Linked DNA regions of Danio rerio. The protein of the gene in region 1 purifies or fractionates together with the protein of each later gene. This does not show direct contact. Links are inferred from orthologs where the notes say so. Each region holds a gene or a part of one and is shown on either strand. Other genes may lie near its edges.

The links.
Region 2: the proteins of rnf7 (region 1) and rab40c purify together in Homo sapiens (co-immunoprecipitation; 4 studies listed by BioGRID and IntAct, with this or other methods). This does not show direct contact. The link is inferred for Danio rerio from reciprocal best matches to the Homo sapiens genes RNF7 and RAB40C.
Region 3: the proteins of rnf7 (region 1) and rab40b purify together in Homo sapiens (affinity purification with mass spectrometry; 3 studies listed by BioGRID and IntAct, with this or other methods). This does not show direct contact. The link is inferred for Danio rerio from reciprocal best matches to the Homo sapiens genes RNF7 and RAB40B.
Region 4: the proteins of rnf7 (region 1) and asb6 purify together in Homo sapiens (co-immunoprecipitation; 4 studies listed by BioGRID and IntAct, counting the BioPlex papers as one, with this or other methods). This does not show direct contact. The link is inferred for Danio rerio from reciprocal best matches to the Homo sapiens genes RNF7 and ASB6.
Region 5: the proteins of rnf7 (region 1) and cul1b purify together in Homo sapiens (affinity purification with western blotting; 5 studies listed by BioGRID). This does not show direct contact. The link is inferred for Danio rerio from reciprocal best matches to the Homo sapiens genes RNF7 and CUL1.
Region 6: the proteins of rnf7 (region 1) and asb7 purify together in Homo sapiens (co-immunoprecipitation; 4 studies listed by BioGRID and IntAct, with this or other methods). This does not show direct contact. The link is inferred for Danio rerio from reciprocal best matches to the Homo sapiens genes RNF7 and ASB7.

Annotation. Positions count from the first base shown.
Region 1 is NC_133193.1:44,703,754-44,707,966, reverse strand, and holds the start of rnf7 (RING-box protein 2), read left to right. Parts: upstream 1-1,413; 5' UTR 1,414-1,416; coding exon 1,417-1,591; intron 1,592-2,972; coding exon 2,973-3,020; intron 3,021-4,213. UniProt on the Homo sapiens protein: Catalytic component of multiple cullin-5-RING E3 ubiquitin-protein ligase complexes (ECS complexes), which mediate the ubiquitination and subsequent proteasomal degradation of target proteins.
Region 2 is NC_133178.1:25,496,171-25,499,670, forward strand, and holds part of rab40c (ras-related protein Rab-40C), read right to left. Parts: intron 2,567-3,500; coding exon 2,344-2,566; intron 1-2,343. UniProt on the Homo sapiens protein: RAB40C small GTPase acts as substrate-recognition component of the ECS(RAB40C) E3 ubiquitin ligase complex which mediates the ubiquitination and subsequent proteasomal degradation of target proteins.
Region 3 is NC_133187.1:33,958,702-33,962,701, forward strand, and holds the start of rab40b (ras-related protein Rab-40B), read right to left. Parts: upstream 2,801-4,000; 5' UTR 2,745-2,800; exon of another isoform or gene 2,464-2,744; 5' UTR 2,386-2,463; coding exon 2,220-2,385; intron 1-2,219. UniProt on the Homo sapiens protein: RAB40B small GTPase acts as substrate-recognition components of the ECS(RAB40B) E3 ubiquitin ligase complex which mediates the ubiquitination of target proteins.
Region 4 is NC_133183.1:8,437,516-8,440,501, forward strand, and holds the end of asb6 (ankyrin repeat and SOCS box protein 6), read right to left. Parts: intron 1,313-2,986; coding exon 582-1,312; 3' UTR 501-581; downstream 1-500. UniProt on the Homo sapiens protein: Probable substrate-recognition component of a SCF-like ECS (Elongin-Cullin-SOCS-box protein) E3 ubiquitin-protein ligase complex which mediates the ubiquitination and subsequent proteasomal degradation of target proteins.
Region 5 is NC_133199.1:21,267,554-21,271,834, reverse strand, and holds the start of cul1b (cullin-1b), read left to right. Parts: upstream 1-1,481; 5' UTR 1,482-1,550; intron 1,551-4,281. UniProt on the Homo sapiens protein: Core component of multiple cullin-RING-based SCF (SKP1-CUL1-F-box protein) E3 ubiquitin-protein ligase complexes, which mediate the ubiquitination of proteins involved in cell cycle progression, signal transduction and transcription.
Region 6 is NC_133182.1:9,750,212-9,753,711, forward strand, and holds part of asb7 (ankyrin repeat and SOCS box protein 7), read right to left. Parts: intron 3,334-3,500; 5' UTR 3,291-3,333; coding exon 3,080-3,290; intron 1-3,079. UniProt on the Homo sapiens protein: Probable substrate-recognition component of a SCF-like ECS (Elongin-Cullin-SOCS-box protein) E3 ubiquitin-protein ligase complex which mediates the ubiquitination and subsequent proteasomal degradation of target proteins.

The DNA.
Region 1 (4,213 bases):
AGGCCTATATTTTTCTGATAGTGCAACCTTGACGAGGTTGCATGCTGAAAGAATGATGATGATTTCAGTGTCAACGTAGGCCTATTCAGCATTGTGAATGTGCTTTACTGCAAAACATGCAATATAATGCAAAGCAGACATGGGTCACATGCTTAGCTTTTTATTTTATTATTCTATTTTAAATATCTGTTCATTCTAATGTCATTATTTTTTATGATTTTTTTTTCTTTTTAGATGATTTGGAAATAGACAAAAAGTAACTGAAAAAAGCTGCTTAATTAATTATTAGCCACTCTCAATTTAACACTTAAAAATACATTAATCGTTATTTATTATTCTTTTTTTAAGCTGGCCCAAACTTGATTTAAACTTTAAAAATAGTATATTGACAGAATTTGCGTTTATTGATTTACCCGAAATTAGCCATTCTGAATGCTGACTGAATTTTTTTAAATATATATATATATATATAGCCTAAATAAATCTTATATTTTTGCATATTTCTAAGTCCAAGCAAGAATATATTAGCTCAACTTATATACCCACATGAAAAAATATAGGCTATACATGTTTTTGACATATATGAAATAAAATGTGCTATTACTGTAAAATAATAATATGGTAATAGAAGAACTAATGATATATACCAATCATAATATATAAACTTAAATTTTTTTGTAAGATTAAAAGATTTAGAAAATACAATTTAATAAATATAAACAAATAGTACTACATTTTTACAACTCTGGCTATTATATTACAATATATCAACGTTTCTTTAGTAAAAATTATATTACATATGTTTACAGTAGATTATCAGTTAATACGGCTATGCTCAACTAACAGAGTTGTTTTGAATACTATAGTATAAATATTAATAGGCCTAAAATAGTAGCCTTTGGTTCAAAAGCACTATATTATTTATTATAAATCACTTTAGTATTTTTTTTTCATGTGGGTAAGTTTGTTTCTACAATATTTTTATTGTATTGGGAATCACAGCATATTGGCTAATTTATTCAACAGATAACAATTGTACAAAAGTTCTGAAGTTTTTCCAACATAGTTTGTATTTATATGATCAAAATGTGCAATTCTCCACGTTTTTTAAAAAATAAGTTGGATATAGTTTCAAGAAAAGAAGTTTATATGAGTTAAATATAGTTAAAGTTCAAATATAAGATACATTTTCAATCAAATACATACAGAAATTTCGAATGAGGGAATTATTAGCATGAAAAATTAAATAAATTGATTAAAAAAATGTTTATTAAAGTGTTTATTAAAAATGTTCTACATCGCAGTATTTTAAAACATCCAGCCAGGGGCCTGTTAACAGACAACTCCAGCTAGAGGCCGATCTGCGTGTCTGCAGACCAGCCTATCTCAGCCATTTTGTTTCTACGCCTCTTCGCCATGGCGGAGATGGACGACGGTGATGAGCCAGGTTTAGGACATTCTCACAGCGGTTCTTCTGGGTCCAAATCAGGGGGAGACAAAATGTTTTCCCTGAAGAAGTGGAACGCGGTGGCCATGTGGAGCTGGGATGTGGAGTGTGACACCTGCGCTATTTGTCGCGTTCAAGTTATGGGTGAGTGTTTTTTAGCTAACCGGCTAGCCGATAGCATTTCTAATCATTCTCAGATAAACAGACCAAGAATGGAGGCTGATGAATTTGATAATATCTGCCTGACACACGACCGAGTCGTTTTCAGCAATATAACACACTGCTGTCTACCGAGACAGAATTTGTTGAAACCTAAAGTGATGACATAAATGTTTACTCGAACATTGGAAAGTGCATATAATGCATGACATACTGTTTAAATGCGACGAGCAAATGCATTAATGCTTCAAAACAGACGAGAATAGAAACATAGAATGGACATTATATGTAAATATTAAACTTACATTCAAATCCATATGACGTCTAAGATATGTTCAATAATGTATAAATTATGCAAATATACATGTGAAGGGGAAAAACATTAGTTTATGATTAGTTTAACAGTTTACAGCAAAATGGAGATTAGGTAGGCAGTTCACATTATTTGGTCAAGTCAGTGTAAATATTCAGACTATAATAAATGTGCACAGTCAGACTGTGATTTCATATGATCTCAGCAAGTCTGTCCTGTTTAAAAGCAACTGTGAAGTTAAAACTGTATAAATCTTATTATGAACAATTAAGACTTTGTAATATCTAGACTAACCAAAATGTCAAAATTTGACCCTATAGGAAAAATGACTTTCCTCTGCTGGCATTCTTTTTTTTCTCTCTTGACATTTAGTTCGCTAAAACCCACTCCTGCAAAATGGCATTTGTCAGCCTTTAAGTGATTGGGTTAAAGTTGGTTTTATATTTGCACATTTGGATTTTATCCATAATTTCAGGAAAGCGTTCTTTGCCAATTTTAAATAGTTAAGCACAGCAGCCAGTCAATTAAATAGTACTAATGTATCATTTTTTATAATATTATATATCATTTGTAATTTCAGACTGAGCAATCAAAGTAGCATAATAAACAATATAGAGATCAGGTCAGAAGAGGTCACTCTCAAAAATGAACTAATGTGCAAATATAAAACCATGTTTGGTGTACGTTTGGGCAGACCTTTTAAATTCCAGTCCAGTAGTATCTGGATGCAGACTTCATGTCTCAGCTTTGCAATATCAGACACAATGCACTCAATGGAGCTAGTGACGTCACTGTTGCAGCTCAGCTTGCAACTGCACCAAGTCTGCAGTCAGACCACTGTCATATATTGGGCAAATGCTTCACTAGCTGCCTTTAAACTGTGCGAATGAACAGACGTCACAATAAAACAGACATCACAATACCAAAGAAAGAAAACTCTCCGTTGGTATTTTCTTTTTAATTTACAACTGTATCTGAGTTTTGGTTTACTTCTAGCACAATATATAAATCCCAGCAGGTGTTTTTGAATATGTCTGATTTACTCCATTTCAGATGCCTGCTTGAGGTGTCAGGCCGAAAACAAACAAGAAGACTGCGTTGGTAAGTTAAAGCCCATGTGAAATCAAAATGTACCATGTTTATTGTGCTCGCACACATAGTTAATCTTTAGGTGAACGATTAATCAGTGCATGTTAATCCACTGGGGACATTTTTTTTGGTAATTCTGACCATTTGCTTTCATGCTTGGAGTGCCAGCCTTTATCTGTTGACATCAGCTCAACTGCTTCACTCATAAACAATAATATTAGCCATGCCCCTCTTACAATTACTTTGCTATGGGGAAATAATGTGCAAAAAGAAAGCCCCAACCCCTACTTAATATTTTGTTTCAGTTGGAAGTACATCATCATACTAGTGATGGTAAAATGAAGCTTTCTGAACAAGTGAAGTGCTCGACTCAATTGTATTGGAAAAAGGTTCGTTATAGAGGTCTGCATTCCCGCGGGCGCCACAGGACCCGACCAGATTTCTGCGGCGCGGGAATAAATTTCCAAATAAGTCGCGGGAGCGGTCGGTAACAGGTTTAATTTAGGACGGGAGCGGGCTGTCTAGCAATATCGCGGATATTGCTATGTGAATGAGAGAGAGAGAGAGAGAGCTTTGCCTGTGTGTGTGCTTGGTGCTTGTGTGTGTGTGTATGTTAGTGCGCGCGCGAATGAGAGAGAGAGAGAGAGAGCTTTCCCAGATAGCAAAATACACTCAGGCCAGTTCCGGCTAGATTCTCGCCTGCCAGAGACTTACCACTCAGCCCGGCTCTGGCTGCCGGACTCCGGATGCTTGTGGACTCACTGCCCGATTCCGGCCCGAATCAATCGGGCCAGATGCGGCAGCCTTAAGCAAACCGACGCTGCCGCATCCCTGCCGGAATCGGACCGATAGTAATGTGCGCTGCGGCCCGGAGCTGGCGCGACTCAGTATTTATATATCTTTATATAAAACCTTTTGGTATTACATTGGTACTTGATACATGGTATTACAAGCCTTTGAGTTGATATAACAGCAAACGCCTGTGTGTCTGCTTGGTGCTTGTGTGTGTGTTAGTGCGCACGCGCGCGTATGAGAGAGAGAGAGATTTGTCTGTGTGTGTGTGCTTGGTGCTGTGTGTGTTTATACAGACAGCTTGGCTGTCTGGACTGTATAGCTGGGGGATTTTCAGTTTTGTTCTCCCCCGCTCTTTAGCGGGATCGGGTGTGGCGGGCAGAAAACGGGGCGGGTCGGGCAGGGGGACAATA
Region 2 (3,500 bases), on another chromosome or scaffold:
CTGATCATGCCAGCATTTCTCCATCACCCAGAAGGTTGAAACCAAACATTTCCACTGTATTTATGGGACTGTGTTTTAAATGGATAGATCACCCAAAAACAAAAATTGCCATCATTTACTCACACTTGACTTGTTCCAAAGCTGTTTTTTAACAGAAGATGTACATAAGAATGTTGGAAACACGTAACCATTGACTTCAATAGAAAAACAATTACAGTGCTCAACATATACGAGTACACCACTCACAAATCTCATTTAAATTCATATTTTCTATATGAAGCTTTACAATATTATATTTCTGCGGATACATTAGTTCAGTCAGTACTGAAGCCACATCTGGAGCTAATCTAACAAAATAACCAACAATAATTGTTTAAAAATTTGTACACCCAATCTTATATGTTAGGGGTAATTATTAAATTACATTTTCAAAAATCTTTCCTTTTCTAAATATGTTTGGTGACTATTTTAATATTATTTTAATAAATATATTGATTTAATAAATCCATTCTGTTTAAATGCAATAATATAAATAACCCCAATTTACTGAGAAATGTATAAAAATATTCATTTTCAAAATGGGGCGAACTCGTATTTGCAGAGCACTGTACTATGGAAGTCAATGGTTACAGGCTTCCATCATTCTTCAATACATCACATTTTAATACTGTTAATCAGAACGGAACTAAAAAAAAAAACTGATCATATTATGCAATACCCTGTAATGATTTATTTTCTTTCCTCTTAGATTTTTGTTTGTATATATTTATTATTATTAATCTTTTTACTATTGGAAAGAGTATGAGCAATTCCAGCATTATGGATGAGATATTTGCAGTAAGAACTCTAAACATAAATTCACATGGAAAGTATACGTTAACTGTATATTGAAACATCTGTATATATATTTTAAAACAACTAACCACCGAGTTGAGGGATCAGAAAAATATTAATCTGTAAACATTTTTAGATATTAAATGAGGAAAATAAACATGCGTTATAGATGCGACCAAAAAGTGCACATTTTACACCATACTTTGTAGTAGGGCTCTACTATTAGGGGGAAAATATCTAACTGCGATTTCTTTCACAGATATTGTGATTTTGTTTTAGTTAAGCTTCAGCTCAATCACACTTCTTATATGGCCACTTGTGGTGCTTTTTTTAGGTGCTGGTTGTTGTATTTCCTCTTGCTGGCAGAAATTCTGCGACAGCTCTTACAAATGACCAGTTTTTGCTTAGTGTCTTTGACTTTGAAACCAAGATATTCCCATATTACCGACATGCTGTTTTTCCTTGATATTGATTTGTCTATTAATGCTTTTGAAACATCAGATGCCATCATCCCACTCGTCTGCGCTTTCCAGTTTGTTTGTTTGTATTGTGGACATTACGCATGTTCTGTTGCACTATTCTGATTGGCCGAACGCAAGTGTGCTCACTCAATTGGCTAGTAAGACAGTCGTGCACAGATAGCAGTCATGCGTTTGCTCTGGGTGGGGGAAAGTAAATAATATATATATTCATATTGCAGCCTCTTGTAATTAGCTAATCGCAATGTTTCAAATCACGATTGTGATGAGATTAAATGCACAGCCCTACTTTGTAGCAATTCTGTAAATTAACCTGCCCAACCCAAACGAAAACAATGCTAACTAAAATTATAAAAGTTGGCTCTCCATATAACAAAAATTATTGATTTAATTTTATTTTACAATTTTATATTTATGAAGAAAAAGCTTCATTATGGATGTGACAAATGCGAAACACTTTATGACTTTCAAATATAATTGTTTGAAAACACATTTTTGAGTATTTTTACAGTACTCCATCAAAACCTAAAAGGTTTTGCTATTTTAGTGAAAACTTTTTTTTTTTTATGGCAAGGTTGACATTTGCATTCAATTGCTCGTATACTTTTTGGTTGTTTCTATCCATCAACCCCTTGCTCCCAGAAACACCCCCCTGGTTTCATAATGAGTTTACAGGCCTTCGACAATCCCATATACACATGTATAAATAATTTATCTAATCGGTTTTCCATTTTTTTCCTGTATATTCTAATTTTGGTAAGAATTTTGAGGTTTGTAAAGGTGTAAAAATGTGTCAAATTAATATTAAATTAATATCAACACCATAAAAAAACGCAAACTGGTTTGGAAGAGTAAAGGTTGTGAGTAGACAATGACCAAATTTTTATATCTGGATGAACTATCCCTTTAAAAATGTCAGGTAGAATCTGCATATTTGTTACTTTTTCGTAAACAGACATTGCTGTGTTTTACATCATAAATAATGTTAAATTTTTTTGTCATAATGAGCATGTTCAAGAGGAAACCTCACCTCTGTTGGGCCTCCAGAACTTCTCCATCCCATGCCTCATCAGGACGATGCGCGAGAGCTCTGTAAAGGACTCGATGACGTTGAAGTTGCAGAGAGGACTCACTTCAAAAAATGTCATGCCATTCTTTTCTGCGTATGCCCGTGCCTGTTCTGTGGGAACCTGTCGCTTGAACGCCAGGTGTAGCCGGTTACCCACTAGAATACGGGGCACTCCAGGTGCATGCTGGGGAAAGACAGAGAGACAAGAAAGTGTTTCAAACGGGGGATGGGGAAGACCAGAAAGGTAGAAAACACAGAGAGGAAGATACACGGTGCTGTCAGACTGAGTGAGTCTCAAACAGTGTCACAGCTGGCCTGTCTCATTTATTTATTCAATGAGGCCTGTCATATCTGTGCCTTTCTCTAGTCCACAGAGAAAAAGAGCACTCGCTCATGTTTAGAAGCTGTACTGAGCAGTGCATTTACATCAAACACGGACTGTGCAATATGACAATATATATATATATATATATATATATATATATATATATATATATATATATATATATATATATATATATATATATATATATATATATATATATCAAATGAACTAAAAAAAAGTTTATCATTTCGTATTTTGCTTTATTTTTCATTTTCTGGTGTAATATTTGTATAATTTATATGAGCGCTATAATACACACCATTACATGAATGTAGACACAATCATGAATAACATCACAAGAAAGTTGCAATCTTGAAATGCAGTGTTTACATTTTGCATTTTATTTGACGATACTGGTTTATTTTTGTTTGACCTGTAATTGTTAGTTTATGCATACGTTTGATTAATAATAACTTTATATTTCTATATTGTTTTTATAAAACATTCCTTATAGCTCTTAGTGTTCAATGTGAAAAATATGAGCACATATGAATGAGCAAACTTCTTAGTTTACACTTTTTAAATGTAAAAAAAAAAATCCTTTATATGTGGTAATAATTATTCTACTAATGCTAATCAACTATCAATTGACATAAATGGTACTGTATTGTGATACTGTATTATGTTATCTGATTACGAGAACAGTACATCAATCTAGTGTTTCAAATCTTACTCTTTCAATTTGGAGTAAAGTCTCGATCAATAGACAATTAGACATAACTGGAAAGAGTTT
Region 3 (4,000 bases), on another chromosome or scaffold:
TTGGCCTGCAAGTTCCCCAAGCTGTCCAACAAAAAAATCTGCTAGGTATGCGTGTTATTCTTTATATATCTCTAAACTGCTGACAGTAGACAAAGGACCTTTTTGTGGATAAAGCATGTAAAATTTTGATAATGCGAGTGCACCTTTAGGCTGTTTCAAACGGCAACTTATCACAATCTTGAAAACATAGTTAACGTCAAATAGTTAACGGCAGTTCATGCTGACATTAAAAACACTGCACTACTCTGTTCAAGAGCAATTCCAGTGTTATTGATGTGACATTTGTAGTAAAAATTCAAAACATACATTCACAGAGAAAGCATAATGTTAATGTTATATTTTGATATATGTTTATATTTCCCAAAACAATTAACCACAAAGCTATGCGATCAGAAAAATATCAGTCTGTAAACATTTTTATATTTTAAATGTGGAAAATAAACATGCGTTATGGATGCGACCAAAAAAGTTAGCGAGTTTACAGTCTACAACATACTTTGTAGAAATTCTGTGAATAAAACTGCACAAACCAAAAGTGAAGCTAATCAAAAGGATAAGAGTTGGCTCTCTATAGAACAAAAATGACTGATTTCATTTTACTTTACATGTTTGCATTTATGAGGAAAAAGCTTTGTTATAGATGTGACACCTCTGTTATGGATGTGACGAATGTGAAATTGTGTCATTTATTCATTCATTTTCTTGTCAGCTTAGTCCCTTTATTAATCCGGGGTCGCCACAGCGGAATGAACCTCCAACTTATCCAGCAAGTTTTTATGCAGTGGATGCCCTTCCAGCCACAACCCATCTCTGGGAAACATCCACACACACATTCACACACACTATGGACAATTTAGCCTACCCAATTCACCTGTACCGCATGTGGGGGAAACCGGAGCATCCAAAGGATCCCATGCGAACACACGGAGAACATGCAAACTCCACACAGAAACGTCAACTGAGCCGAGGCTCGAACCAGCGACCCAGCGATCTTCTTGCTGTGAGGCGACAGCACTACCTACTGCGCCACTGCTTAGCTCCTGGCACTTGTGCGACTTTGGTTAATTAAATATAAATGTTACAAAACATTTACAGACATTTTGAGCATTTGAGCACACAAAAAAATGTAGAAATTGTTTCACTATTTTGGTGAAAACTTTTTTTTCTCAAGGTATTTTGATTTTTCTTATAACCTGTTGCGCCTTTTCTAAAAGTGTCTGGCATGCATGTCTCAGCTGCTTGGATAAATGAGTCCACAACTGTGCAAGCCACCCAGCCTCTGACCCTAAATGAACATGTTGGCCGTCAATTTACTCACTAGTGTAATCTAAGCTGTTAAAAAGAGATTCACCATGTTCATCAGACTCTGGACTTTGCCCAAATGCTGTGACGATGAAAATGTCACATGTAGTGTGTTGTGTTTCTTGCATGACAAAATAAAACAATTTAGATTCGAGCAGACCTGCGATAGCATTCTGGAGAAGATATGAAACTCATTAAGAACCCCGTCTCACACACTTGGTTAATAAGTGATATGCAAGTCATTATGTATAGTCTTAATAAAATCATTATGCAATGTAAAGGTTCTATGGATGTTAAAAGTTCTACTTTTTATGCCAATAAAGATCTTTATTTATTTTTTTAAAGTGTAAACATATCCTGTAATTTATTAGTTATGTGATAACTTTAAGTGGCTTGAGTCGCATAAAAATGTTGTTTGTCTTTTGCGCAAGACACATGAAAAATATGTTGTTTAGTTGTGAAAGCCCAAAGGGGGGTTCACTGCAGTTGATTTTGTCCCCTGGGAAGAGTTACTTTTTCCAAAACAGTAACTAATAACTACGACTACAACTGAGCTGTGAATAAGAGCTTGACAAATACAATAGATGAGCACTGTAAGCTTAAAATAATTGTCATACTTATTATGATACTAATCAATTATAGAAAATGTAGAATAGATTGTTTTCAGCTGCCAGTTGTCGTTGTTGTCTTAGTTTTCAATTGACAACATTTCTAGTGACAAAATAAGATACGTGTAACTGTTTTTTTACAACATACACGAGATGCATTAATGTTACATAATATACAAGTCATGATTATAGATTCAGCTCAAATGCACTGACTGTACACTTCATGTTCAACACCCAATCTTCAAATATACAAAAAGAATATCTGGTAGAGGGTTTGATGAATATTAATTAAACAATACAGTGTCTTACCCATGTTGTATCCATAGGGTGACTCACTGGACCCATCCTGAAGACTGGCCAGTATTTCCCCTTTCCCCACATCACTGTCTCCAACCAGTAGGAATTTCAGAAGAAAATCATAAGCTTTTGCTGGGCTGCTTCTGTGGTTCATCTTCACATCAGCCCGATGACCCATACTGGTACATCATGTAATTGTCGGACTTGACGGACTTGTGTTATATTTCAGTCCACCAAATGTAACTGAACGATTTAGCTGTTTTAAAAAAACAAACCTACGTGTTGATCACTTGTCTCTCTGTGTGAAAAATCTCATGTCCAGAACATGGCTAAAGCTGTCCTTTTGTTCAAAGATTCGGACTGTGGATCCACTGATACTGTTGCGTCACATCAGAAGGTAAATAAAGAGCCTCATATGTTAACAATATCGTAGCATAAGGCGATTAGCTACTTATAATTGGTTATTTACACTTAAAGTAATGGTAATTATAATACAGAACACCTAATGTTTATCTCATCTTTACAGTTTGAGCAAACCTGGTCCATTGAGCTCTCAGCCACGATCCCTCTCGTCTATCAGCCTCCCTAAACAGAAAAATGTTGAGTTCATCCTTGGATTTTCCTTGATTGGTTCCTGTGAGGAGTTGCTAGGGCAGCTCTGCTCTTTCATTAGACGTAACTTATGTCAATCAAAAAACACATGAACGCCCACTTTGTATTGGAGAGGGTGTGGCTAATCTCCTGTTTTGAGCCCATATGCGCTGTTCCCAGATCAGCCCTGGTAGGACCCCACCTACTTAGGTTTGGTCGCAGTAAACAGCGGCTCAGCTGATTCTGGGTCAGCTCTTTTAGCGAATTTCAAGCGCGTGCTCGGGTTTGTTGTTTTCCGGGGCACGAAGAATGACGTAGTGTTAAAATGACGTAATATTACCATTGTAGTTTCTAGCTTTTCCTTCTAAAATATTTTTGTAAATTTACTTCGTCTATATATTCGTGTTTGTGTGTGAAAAAATATTAGTATTTTATATTATTATTGATAGTATTATTATTATTATATGAATCTCTCTCTCATTATATATATATATATATATATATATATATATATATATATATATATATATATATATATATATATATATATATGTGTGTGTGTGTGTATGTATTTATGTATGTATGCATGCATGTATGTACGTGTATGTAATTATATATATATATATATATATATATATATATATATATATATATATATATATATATTCACACATATACATAGATACATACAGTTGAAGTCAGAATTATTAGCCCCCTTTTGATTTTTATTTTCTTTTTTAAATATTTCTCAAATTATTTTTAACAGAGCAATGACATTTTCAAAGTATGTCTGATAATAGTTTTTCTTCTGGAGAAAGTCTTATTTGTTTTGTTTCAGCTAGAATAAAAGCAGTTATTAATAAAAAATTTTTTGCCATTTTTGGGGCAAAATTATTAGCCCCTTTAAGCTAATTTGTTTTCCGATAATCTACAGAACAAACCATCGTTATACAATAACTTGACTAATTACCCTAACCTGCCTAGTTCACCTTATTAACCTAGTTAAGCCTTTTAATGTCACTTTAAGCTGTATAGCAGTGTCTTGAAAAATATCTAGTCAAATATTATTTACTTATTTATTTATTTAAATATTATTTACTGTCATCATGGAAACGATAAAATAAATCAGTTATTAGAAATAAGTTTTTAAAACTATTATGCTTAGAAATGTGCTGAAACAATCTTCCCAGAACAGAACAGAA
Region 4 (2,986 bases), on another chromosome or scaffold:
ACCCACTGATCCTACCAAATCCAACCCGCTCTGAGCTGGGATCAAGCAGGCGATTCTTTGTATGGAAGTTGGTTGCTCTAAAAAGGAGGCTAAAGACCATGGCCTCTTGTCATCTGTTATATAATCATTATATATTCAGTGGCATAAAATGCTCTCAAAATGATAATAATATTGATTATCACCACAATTTCTGTGATAATCTATAACACAACAAAAATTCCTTATCGTGACAGGCCTAACACCAACAGTACACATTTTGAATGGCTGCTTTTTCTAACCCATTAACTTCAGGTTTTGGAGTCTCTTCTTGTGTTCTGATGAGTTGATTCAGCTCATCTTTGATTAGGGAGAGGTTAAAAGACAGTTGGTGTGCCTTCAGCAACAGGGTTGGGAAACACTGGACTAAATGATGCATAATTTTCATTTTTAAGCAAAGTGAACTATCCCCTTAATACTAGTTTCTCCCTTAGATCACTGATTATAGGAAACAAGCTTTAATAGTCGCTTTAATCTGAGATTTAATGGATTCAGTGCTCATTAAAGGCTCAATATTTACAAACACACACGCACAGGTTTGTATCTCAGTGTGAGGAGCCTCGAGGTTTAAATCGGTCCCATCCGGCTCTATTCTTCCAGCTGTTTTCAGGAAGCAGCAGGTCTTTCAATCTGTCTGGCAGTGGCAGGGCTTTGACCTTCTCCTCAAACGGCCAGGGCAGAAGACAGTTGCGGATCAGTCTCCTGCAAAGGCACCTGAGCGGCATGGGTTGGCTTTCTCGCTCCTCTAGTTTGCCGTAGAGCTCCAGCAGGGGCTCATGGATCGAGCCCTGCTCCAGCACAGGCAGTTGAGAGCGAGGAAAAAGAGGAGGGATGGCCGGAGAGCAGATCCTGGCTAAATCCAAAAGCACTTCGGCTTTGGCTAAAACATCCGCCACTTCTGCAGCATCAACAGCTTCACGGAGAGCTTCAGCAAGTCGGGTGAATATCAGCTGTGGTCCTGTCCAGTAGGAGGCGCTGTGGTGAGAGCAGACGAAGGAGGCACTGTGTTGGAGAAGGAGAACTGTTAGGGGAAAAAGCAGGTCGAAGTTTTCCAAGCTGGTGTAGGTGAGGGAATGCTCCCACACTTCCCCGTCGGTGGCGCTCAGGCAGCAGCTTGGACCAGCGCCGTGGCTGATCAGAAGATGTGCCACATGGGTACAGAAGTGGCCGATTTCTTTGGCATCCTCCACACTGCTCTCTAGAGCCTCCTTCACTAGGAAGGCCAGAGAAGACATAGGGGTCTCGCCGTCTTGTGTGGTCGCGTTCACATCTGCACCTGCATGGGATGGATTAGTGTACATTAACCCCTGTGTATTGTTTAAATTGACTACTCTTTCGTTATGTTCGGGGATGTTTTTGCCCCATTGACTTCCATTATAATAAAATGTTTTGATTGCAAAGCCATGACAGCACATAATCATGCATTCTTGATTGCTGCTGGTTTTCACTGATTACTGTTAATAATCTGTTGGTAGCAGTAACTCTTTAGATAGGTCTGTGCTAGACACGTTTCAGGCTTTTATAAGGAGTTCTATGGAGTAAAGCCGCAGATTATAGTGTGTGTGCATAAATACACTTACTGTTTACTGTTTACAGTGTTCTGAGAGCTGAGCAGCTAATTTAGATTTTCTCAAACATATCAAGGTACTGTAAGCGTGCAAAGGTCTCTCTCTCTCACACACACACAGACACACACACACATACACACACATACACACACAGACACACACACACACAGACACACACACAGACACACACACGCACGCACACGCACACACACACACACGCACACACACACACACGCGCACACACACGCGCACACACACGCGCACACACACGCGCACGCACACACACGCACGCACACACACGCACACGCGCACACACGCACACGCGCACACACGCACGCACACGCACGCACACGCACGCACACACACGCACACACACACAATAATACAATGAAGAACGCATGATTATATGCCATCTTTTCAATCAAAAGATGTCATTATAATTCAAGTCAATGGGGCAAAAACAGCCCTGGACAAAATGAAAGGGTAGTCAGTTTTTCCAGATTGTATTGCTGGGTTTTTTGCAAAAGAACTTTCCAAAAGTATGTCAAAATACCAAAAATCATTCCATTTTATTAAACACAGAGAAGGCTGTGGCCAAATTAAGACCCAGAGTTAGGGCTGGACAATAATTTGATAACAATATATCTCACAATAGATTTTCTTTTTTAAATAAAGGTGATATGATTTTTAACCCTATTTCCGGTATTTTGATATAAATTTATATATATATATATATATATATATATATATATATATATATATATATATATATACACACACACACACACACACACACACACACACACACACACACACACACATATATATATATATATATATATATATATATATATATATATATATATATATATATATATATATATATATATATATATAAGATCCTATACATTGTACCATTTGTCACTGAATGACATTTTATTTTTTTTAAAAGTTGTAAGAGCCTGGAGGTATTATAGACTTTGCCAATTCAGTTTGTAGACTTTTATAAAGTACAGACATCTATTGTGTGCATTCTTGGCAGTTTTTTCCTTGCTTTTTAAAATTGTCCACATCGATAGCGACCAAAATTAAGAAATATATCATGATATAAAATTTTTGCCATATCGTCCAGCCCTACCCAGATTGGATGAAAACATCCTCAACAGCACATAAGGGTTAATAAGATCACCGCAAAAATGCCAGTTCTGTCATCGTTTACCCACCATTCACTTGTTCCAAACCTTTAGGACTTTCTTTCTTCTGTTAAACATAAAAGAAGATATTTTTAAGAATGTAGGAAACTTGTAACCATCCACTTCCAAAGAATTAGTTTTTTGGAAGTTGATGGTTACAGGTTTTTAGCTTTCTTCAAAATATCTTCT
Region 5 (4,281 bases), on another chromosome or scaffold:
ACAGAATGTTACGTTTGCACACATTCACAAATTACATGTAAATGCATCAGCTTTTCACAGTGTAACACTCACTACTCAAGTATTTTTGAAAGGCCGACTTTTTACTCATACTTTGAGCAGTGGTGTAAAGGAACTAATTACAAATACTCAGATTACTGTAATTGAGTAGTTTTTCTCAGGAATTGTAATTTACTTAGTAGATTTAAAAATGTGTATTTTTACAAGCTTGAGTACATTTTTAGTGCTGTATTTTTACTTTTACTCCACTACTTTTCTGTTGTTTATGGAGATTAGAAAAACTGTCTTGTGATTCGTGTCCAATCAAATCACACAAAGAAGTTAAATCGCATCACAATGAACTACCTCAAGACAAGGGCGATTTATAATTTCAGCAAACAGTTTGGAAGCATTAAACATGTCCAAGATGTCTAAATTTTTACATGCATTGACCCAGAGGCTGTTTAGATGCATGTCTTTGAAAAAAAAATTAAGGATGTTTACTGTATGATGACCAAAATGGCCTTAATCAAAGACGCAAGACATCAACATCATGTCAGATTGACATTGTACCCTAACGTCAATGTCCAACCTATACCAAATATCAACGTCTAATGATGTTACAGCTTGTTGTTGTGTGGATGTTACCACTACGTCTATCAGACGTTGGATTTTGGTTTCCATACCTGACGAATAAGTGTCAGTACTTGACGTCAATGACATTGGTTTTAGATGTTGGCTGGACGTTGGATTTTGGTCACTTTCCAACACAACCTAAAATCAACCAAATATCACCGTCATTTGACGTCATTATTGGACATCAAAATAACATCCCTAGACCCTGGCTATTGAATTTTGGTCACCTGACATCACAACCTAAATCTAACCTAGTATTAACGTCTTATGATGTCGTGTGCCTGCTGGGCAATAACTAAATGCACTACAGAATGTTACGTTTACACACACATGCACAAATTACATGTAAACAAATCAGCTTTTTACAGCGTAATACTCACTAGTCACTACTCTCGAGTACTTTTGGAAGGTCTACTTTTTTTTGGAAGGTTTACTCATACTTTGAGTAATATTTACAACAGATACTTTTACTCTACTTCCACTACATTTTAAGCAAGTAATGGTACTTTTACTTGAGTATGATTTTTCAGTTCTCTTTCCACCACTCACTGACTGAGTAATATTTACAACAGATACTTTTACTCTACTTTCAACTACATTTTTAGGCAAGTAATGGTACTTTCACATGAGTATGATTTTTCAGTACTCTTTCCACCACTGGTGGGTTTTACACACATTTTTTGAGTCATTCGCAGCAGGAATGGTCAAAGTGGTTCCTGGCACCTGAAAGAGTGAAGCTCCTACGCAGCTGGTGTACTACGGTGAGTGGACAGTAGGCGTCGCTGTGTGTCTCTGCGCTGTGGCGTATGACGTTTCACTCGCTCTAATACGGAATTCCCAGTCATCTCCAGTCAAACACACACAGACTGAGCGCAGGGCCTCGACCTCACACTGCTCGACGTTACAAACACACACAGGTAAGACTAAAAATCTTTAAACACGTGTCAGGCGTCCCGGTTTGACATAAATGAAAACTAAATGGACGTGTCTGGCAATGTGTCGATAAGGAAGAGAGACATTTTTGTGATATTACACACCAGTTAAGAATAGGTAGCCATTTTACATCATTATATCTCAAAAGCCTCGGAGAATAACAGTAGTGGGTTAATAACAAATGTTTGTCTTGATTTTCAGGTTATATTTAAATGACGTACGTTTGGTTGACATTATGGTATTAATAGTTCCTCTTAGCGGCAGTTTACAAGGAAGGGTACCTGAAGCTAACGAGCTTGCTACCTAGCATTGCTAATCTATTGATGCTGTTTACAAAACAATATCGCCATATAAATGTTCATGAATTAAATACTTAGTGCGTTTAATGTGTTAAGAAGTATATTATGGAGACCTAAAGCTGTAAACAAATGCTGAGGCAAAACGAAGAGTCCTTTACACACATTCACATGAATTCTGCTGTCTCAGATGCCTACCCTAGACAGCACTTTTGGCCCAAAATGTTGTCTACTGGGTTGGCAGTTTTTGAGACATAGACATTTTAATTGGTTTTCATTAAGTTTCCTAAACCTCATGTGCCAGTGTGAGGTAAGTTTTCCTTTGAAATTATAACCTCAGTCAGGAGTTTTCAAAGTGGTTGGTTTATGAGTCATGCTAATGTTTGGGTATGTGTCAACACACATCAGTAGGTTTTATATAAATGTAAGGGGTTAAAATAGTAATGTAGTTTTGTGCAACTGTCACTCATAATGTACTATCACATTATGTTAGGGTGTTGAGAAAAATTATTTGTTGCGGTTTGTGTCTTTTTCAGAGTTTGTCTAATTTATTCTGAGCTCTTATGAATTTTTGTATTGGTGAGAGTACATACGTTTACAGAAAACACAGTAAAACGTGACAGTAGTTTATAGGACAAATGTTTTGTCAAGCATATTTTGGAAAAGAATCACTTGGCATATTACAAGATCAATTTATAATAACAACTATTTCATTGAATTTTACCAGTGCTTGTCTAAAAGCTAGATCTTATTTTGAAATTCATTAAAAAAAAAAAAAAAAAAAATATATATATATATATATATATATATATATATATATATATATATATATATATATATTTGATCACTTAAAGTTTGTACCATTTAATTATTTGTGATTATATGCTAGCAGAAGTTAACAAGTAATAGTTGACATATCTCTTGTGTGTTTTTGATATGCTTCACTAGTGCTTTGCATCAATGATTTACAGACGCTACTTGGATTCCATTCTGTTCTTGATTTCATTGGCAATATAAATGCAATAAAAGGGATACAGATTTTTCTAAAAATGAACAGTGAGCACCATTTTATAAAGACTGAATTAATCTCCATTAATATAGGCCTTGTGGCTTAACTTATCAATGCTTTCTGTTTGCCACCAAAATTCTTAATTAGAACGAATACTTAGTAGGGATACCCTAATAAATGTTTGTCTTTTAATGAATGTAAATGATTAGTTCTAGTCTGATTCTTCTATTTTCTTTTTAGTTGTACTTTTCTATTTTCAGCTTCTTGTCTTATACTGACACTTTAGCTTACACGGAGAATTCAAATTCTGTTTTCATTTACTAACATTTACTATTTACTTGTTTCAAACCAACTTGAGTTGTTTTGTTGAACACAAAAGAAGATATTTTGAAGTATGTTGGAAACCTGTAACAAGTTAGGAAAAGCATGCTATGAAAGTCTGTGGTTACAGGTTTCCAACATATCCATATTTTGATTTAAATCCAACATTTTGTAATATAAAGCTCAATATTGTTTGGAAAAAGTTGAGAATGAGTAAATGGTGACAGAATATCATAAATGAACTTAATTCAAACACAACACTTTAATCAAGTGGAAGGATTAAGCTCATAATTATAGAAACTATAATTATTTTAAAGTATGTGATGTGCGGTTATTTAAATTGCAGTAAGCAGACATGTAAACCCTAGGGCTGCACGATATTGAAAAAATATGATATTGCGATATTTTATTCATCTGTGATATATAATTGCGATATGAATACAATTTAATTGATTTGGACTGATTGTGATGGTTTTGTAGGAGAGAGAATCATTCATGAAATATAATAAACACATTAAACGCTTGGATAAATACAATAGAGCTAAATTAAAAGTAAAATAAACAGCGCTATATGATTTTTGTTGGGACTCTAACAGTATTTAGCTACAGAAATCGAATAATTAAATGTAAATGAGCACTGTACAGTTTCATAAATAATTTAAAAAAAAACTATATCATTAATTAAAGTTACAAATGGTACAATTTCTAGTGCCTGAATGTTCACACAGTGATAGGCTTTAAAGAGCCCATATTATTCATGAAATAGGGTCATATTTTGGTTGTAAGGGTCTCCAACAACAGTCTAATATGCATGCAAGGTCAAAAAACACTTTCATGGTCTTATTATCTGCATTTATTTTTACCTAATTATCCCAGCGACTCCCGTATGAATCGTCCAGTGATTCAATTGTTCCCAAACCCCTCCTTAGCGCGAAGCTAATCTGCGCTGATTGGACCGATGACAGTCTGTTGCGAATGGTTGACACTAACTGCTTTCAGCCAGAGACAGAGCGAATAGCCAGCAGCTAATCAACAATATAGAAGTAGTCAGAGTGTATACACGCTCGATAGTGTAAGGCGTGGAGTTTA
Region 6 (3,500 bases), on another chromosome or scaffold:
TGTACCTAAATGGTCTGCATTGACACCTTTAAAGGATATAGTAGTAGCTAAACAGTAGCTTTCTTATTTTTTAGGCACATATGTGTACCTTTAATGCACAAACATTAACTGTTGGCAGCGTTTGTCTATGAAAGTACCAGTTGAACACCAGTCCGGTATTTTAAAGCATAATAGATGACCAGAAGAGATGCGGAAGCTAATGACATAATAAATCACATCAGGCACAATAATAACCTGGATTATCAGAATTGTTCTACTGAGAAAAAGATCTTGATCATTTCAAAATCATAATTACACAATTACATGAGAAGATTCCCACCTACAATTAAGTAGTGCCTAATCAAAGGGTAATTGAGTTCACTAAAATGTATTTAAAAATTGAACTTGTTTTATTTTAGTTAGATGCCAAAGCAATATTTCTAAAATTCATTAAGTTTACCTTAAACGAGCAAAACTAAAACGAAAAGGCAGAGTGAAAAATAAAAACTGCACATAAAGAAATTAAATAAAATAAGAAGAAAACATTCACACCACCATCCCCTTCACATAAAAAATACAAAACATTAATATAAATATATACAGGGCTTGACGTTAACGCCCGTCACACAGGGCTACATCGTCAACGCTTGACAGAGGGCGTGTCGAAAGTTGGGGCTGATGCGATCGTCGTAGCCGCATCAGTCAATGAAATTAGTCAGCAATAGGCCACTGTCTGAGCTGGTGTATTTGCATACAGCAATCTGATTGGCTTTCCGTCGGCGCTTGAAAAGTTAAACAAGTCTCAACTTCTGCAGTGAGCAACGCCTCTGAAGCAGCGCTGACGGATCCACAATGCAGTTCGGCAACGCCTGACGTCACCCATTAAAAGCAATTGGGAAGAGTTGAAGCTGTGCCCCGTGTGAATGTGTGTGAACATCACTAGCCACTCTCCATTTTCACTAGCCACAATTTTATTGTTAGGAAAACATATTTTATATGCATAAATTTGACTTTAACATGCTAAAATGACTTGATTTTGGGTCATGTCCGCATGCATTTCACTTTGTGTGTTGTGCATGACCTTGCTCAATGTGCATGAGCATATGGGTTGTGGTTTCATAGCAATTAGTTTTTATTTCACATGACTTTTCAGGGTTCAAAATTAAGGATTTACCATTAATTATTTAATTTATCTCTGACCACACCAACAATAAATTATTATTTCTTAGCCATACATTTTAAATAATGTGTCAAAACAAGCAAAATATAGCTCTATACATACACTTTTTTATTAAACAAAACTTTTCTTTTTAAAAATGATATTGTCATGTATCTGAAACAATGCATAGTCTGTGTCCTGGTCAAAGGTCTCAGATCACCAGTTAACTAAACGGGAAGTCAATCTCCTATTAAAGCAATCTTATTGTACAAAATATAGCTAAACCATACATTAACAAAAACAACTAATGCCTAGTTCAGACTGCGTGATTTTAGCCCTGATTTTGGCTCGCCGATAGGTTTTGAGAAATCGTCGACAAATGCCTGAAATCACGGGCAAATCGCTGCTCGTGCACGTGAGTGACAATCACACAGTATGAACTTTCAAAGACGCGATCTGAGAGAATCACCGATGAGTCGCCGATGCCTGTGAGATATTTGTCATGCTAAATATCTGGAGCTGTCGGCAATTCAAATCATGCCGTGTGAATTGAGTTTTGACTGAAAATAACATCAGCGATCGCCTACAGCCAACGAGAGAGCAGCTTTCACTTGTGTGTGCGTGTGTGTATACCTGCTGCAGGCCAGCGGGAGGCTGGGGGAGAAGTTAAAAGCGCTCTTTTTCGGTTTATTTGTACCCATGAAATGGAGGAAAAACTAGTGGAGGTTTGACAGGACTCAGGAGCAACCGTGTCTGTTTGACATTTCATAGAGAAAGAAATTCGCTTAATATCAACTTAAGTTGAGGGGAAATGGCTAATTCCCTTTAAACCCAGATGAGCAAACATGTACATGTTCAACCCCATTAAAGGCTTCTTTCTCATTATGTACTTAATAACAAAAGATATACTACGTGTTTTTGGCTGTGAGACGTAGTTTGGACGAAGTTGTCGGCGATTCTCCCTATAGTAAAGTCATGCAATGTGAAAGCCCCTGTCGCCGATCCATCTTGCAGTGTAAACAAAGCAGCGACGAAACGCAAGCCCAGATAGTCATGCAGTGTGAAAACATCTGTGACACGACTACTTTGAAAATCATGCAGTCTGAACTCGGCATAAGCAAAAGAAAGCAGGTGGAAAACATAGCGCGTGTGATAATTAAAGGATGGTCGCGCTACGTTAGGCCTGTTAATAATCTATTCAAAGAATGGTGAAAGTGAATGGTGGAAGTGACCCCTGCTGCTTACAAAAACACATCTTTTTACAAATTAGGAGCTCTTGAAAGAAGGAGTACTGTGGGTGCACGAGCATCACCTTTTGTCAAGTCTATTTCAAAGAGAACCGATGAATTGCACCAATTGCATTTTCAGGAAAGGAAACGGGAGCACGCACGCTTTTTAAACAGCCAAGCGCATTACCTCACCTGTGCACGTAAGAGTTATCATCCTCTCATTCGCTATTCATCTGCTTTCTTTTGCTCACGCGAACACAATTACTTTTGTCAGTCATGCTGCTTCTCGATTTTAGGATCACATTTGCACGCATACTGGGCCATCTTTATTGTAGAACCCTGCTTTTAAGACAACTACAATTCAAAAATTATTTCCAACAAGTGGCTAGTCGGAGTGTCTGTCTAATCTACCACAGCTGAAATTTGGCGGGTTGGCGGGTGTTAATGAAAATGATTATTAAACATTATGTGTAGATTTTCAAAAATGTTTTTTTTTTATTGTTTATATATTTTATATATCTTTGTGGTCTTTATTGACTGTTGTTAAGGATGATCAAAATAACCGATTAACCGTTAACTGAAAAGTACGAAAAAGTACGAATAGGGACAATAACAAAATGCCTGAGTGACCCTAGGAAGACCTTATGATGATGAATGTTTGAATTAACATAGTTTTAAAAGTCACACTGAATGCTTTAATAAAATAATTTACCTCCATGCTCGAGGAAGACGCGCACGCAGCGCTCCTTGCCCTTTGCTGCAGAGAAGTGCAGCAGCGTCCAGCCGTTGGCGTCTCTGATCTTGGGCGAGTAGCCCTGCTCCAGCATCTTGCGGACGGTGTAAACATCGCCCGCCGCCACCGCTGCCTGGATCTGCAGCTCCTCCTGCAGCTCTGGGTTCCTTCTGCAGTGATGGTTCAGCATCCTGTCACATCGCGCAGTACTGCCGGCAGACGCTGCTGTGTCCCTGCACACACACGGACACGATAAAGTGAAAACAATAGGCAAGCTCATCACTGTGAATCAAGGGACGAATAATTAAACATGCAAAGCTATATTAAAGTGCAAAAAAACTGTTTTCAAAACTTTTAATTCACCATCTGAGTGATCACACAAACAGACAATCGTGTTTTT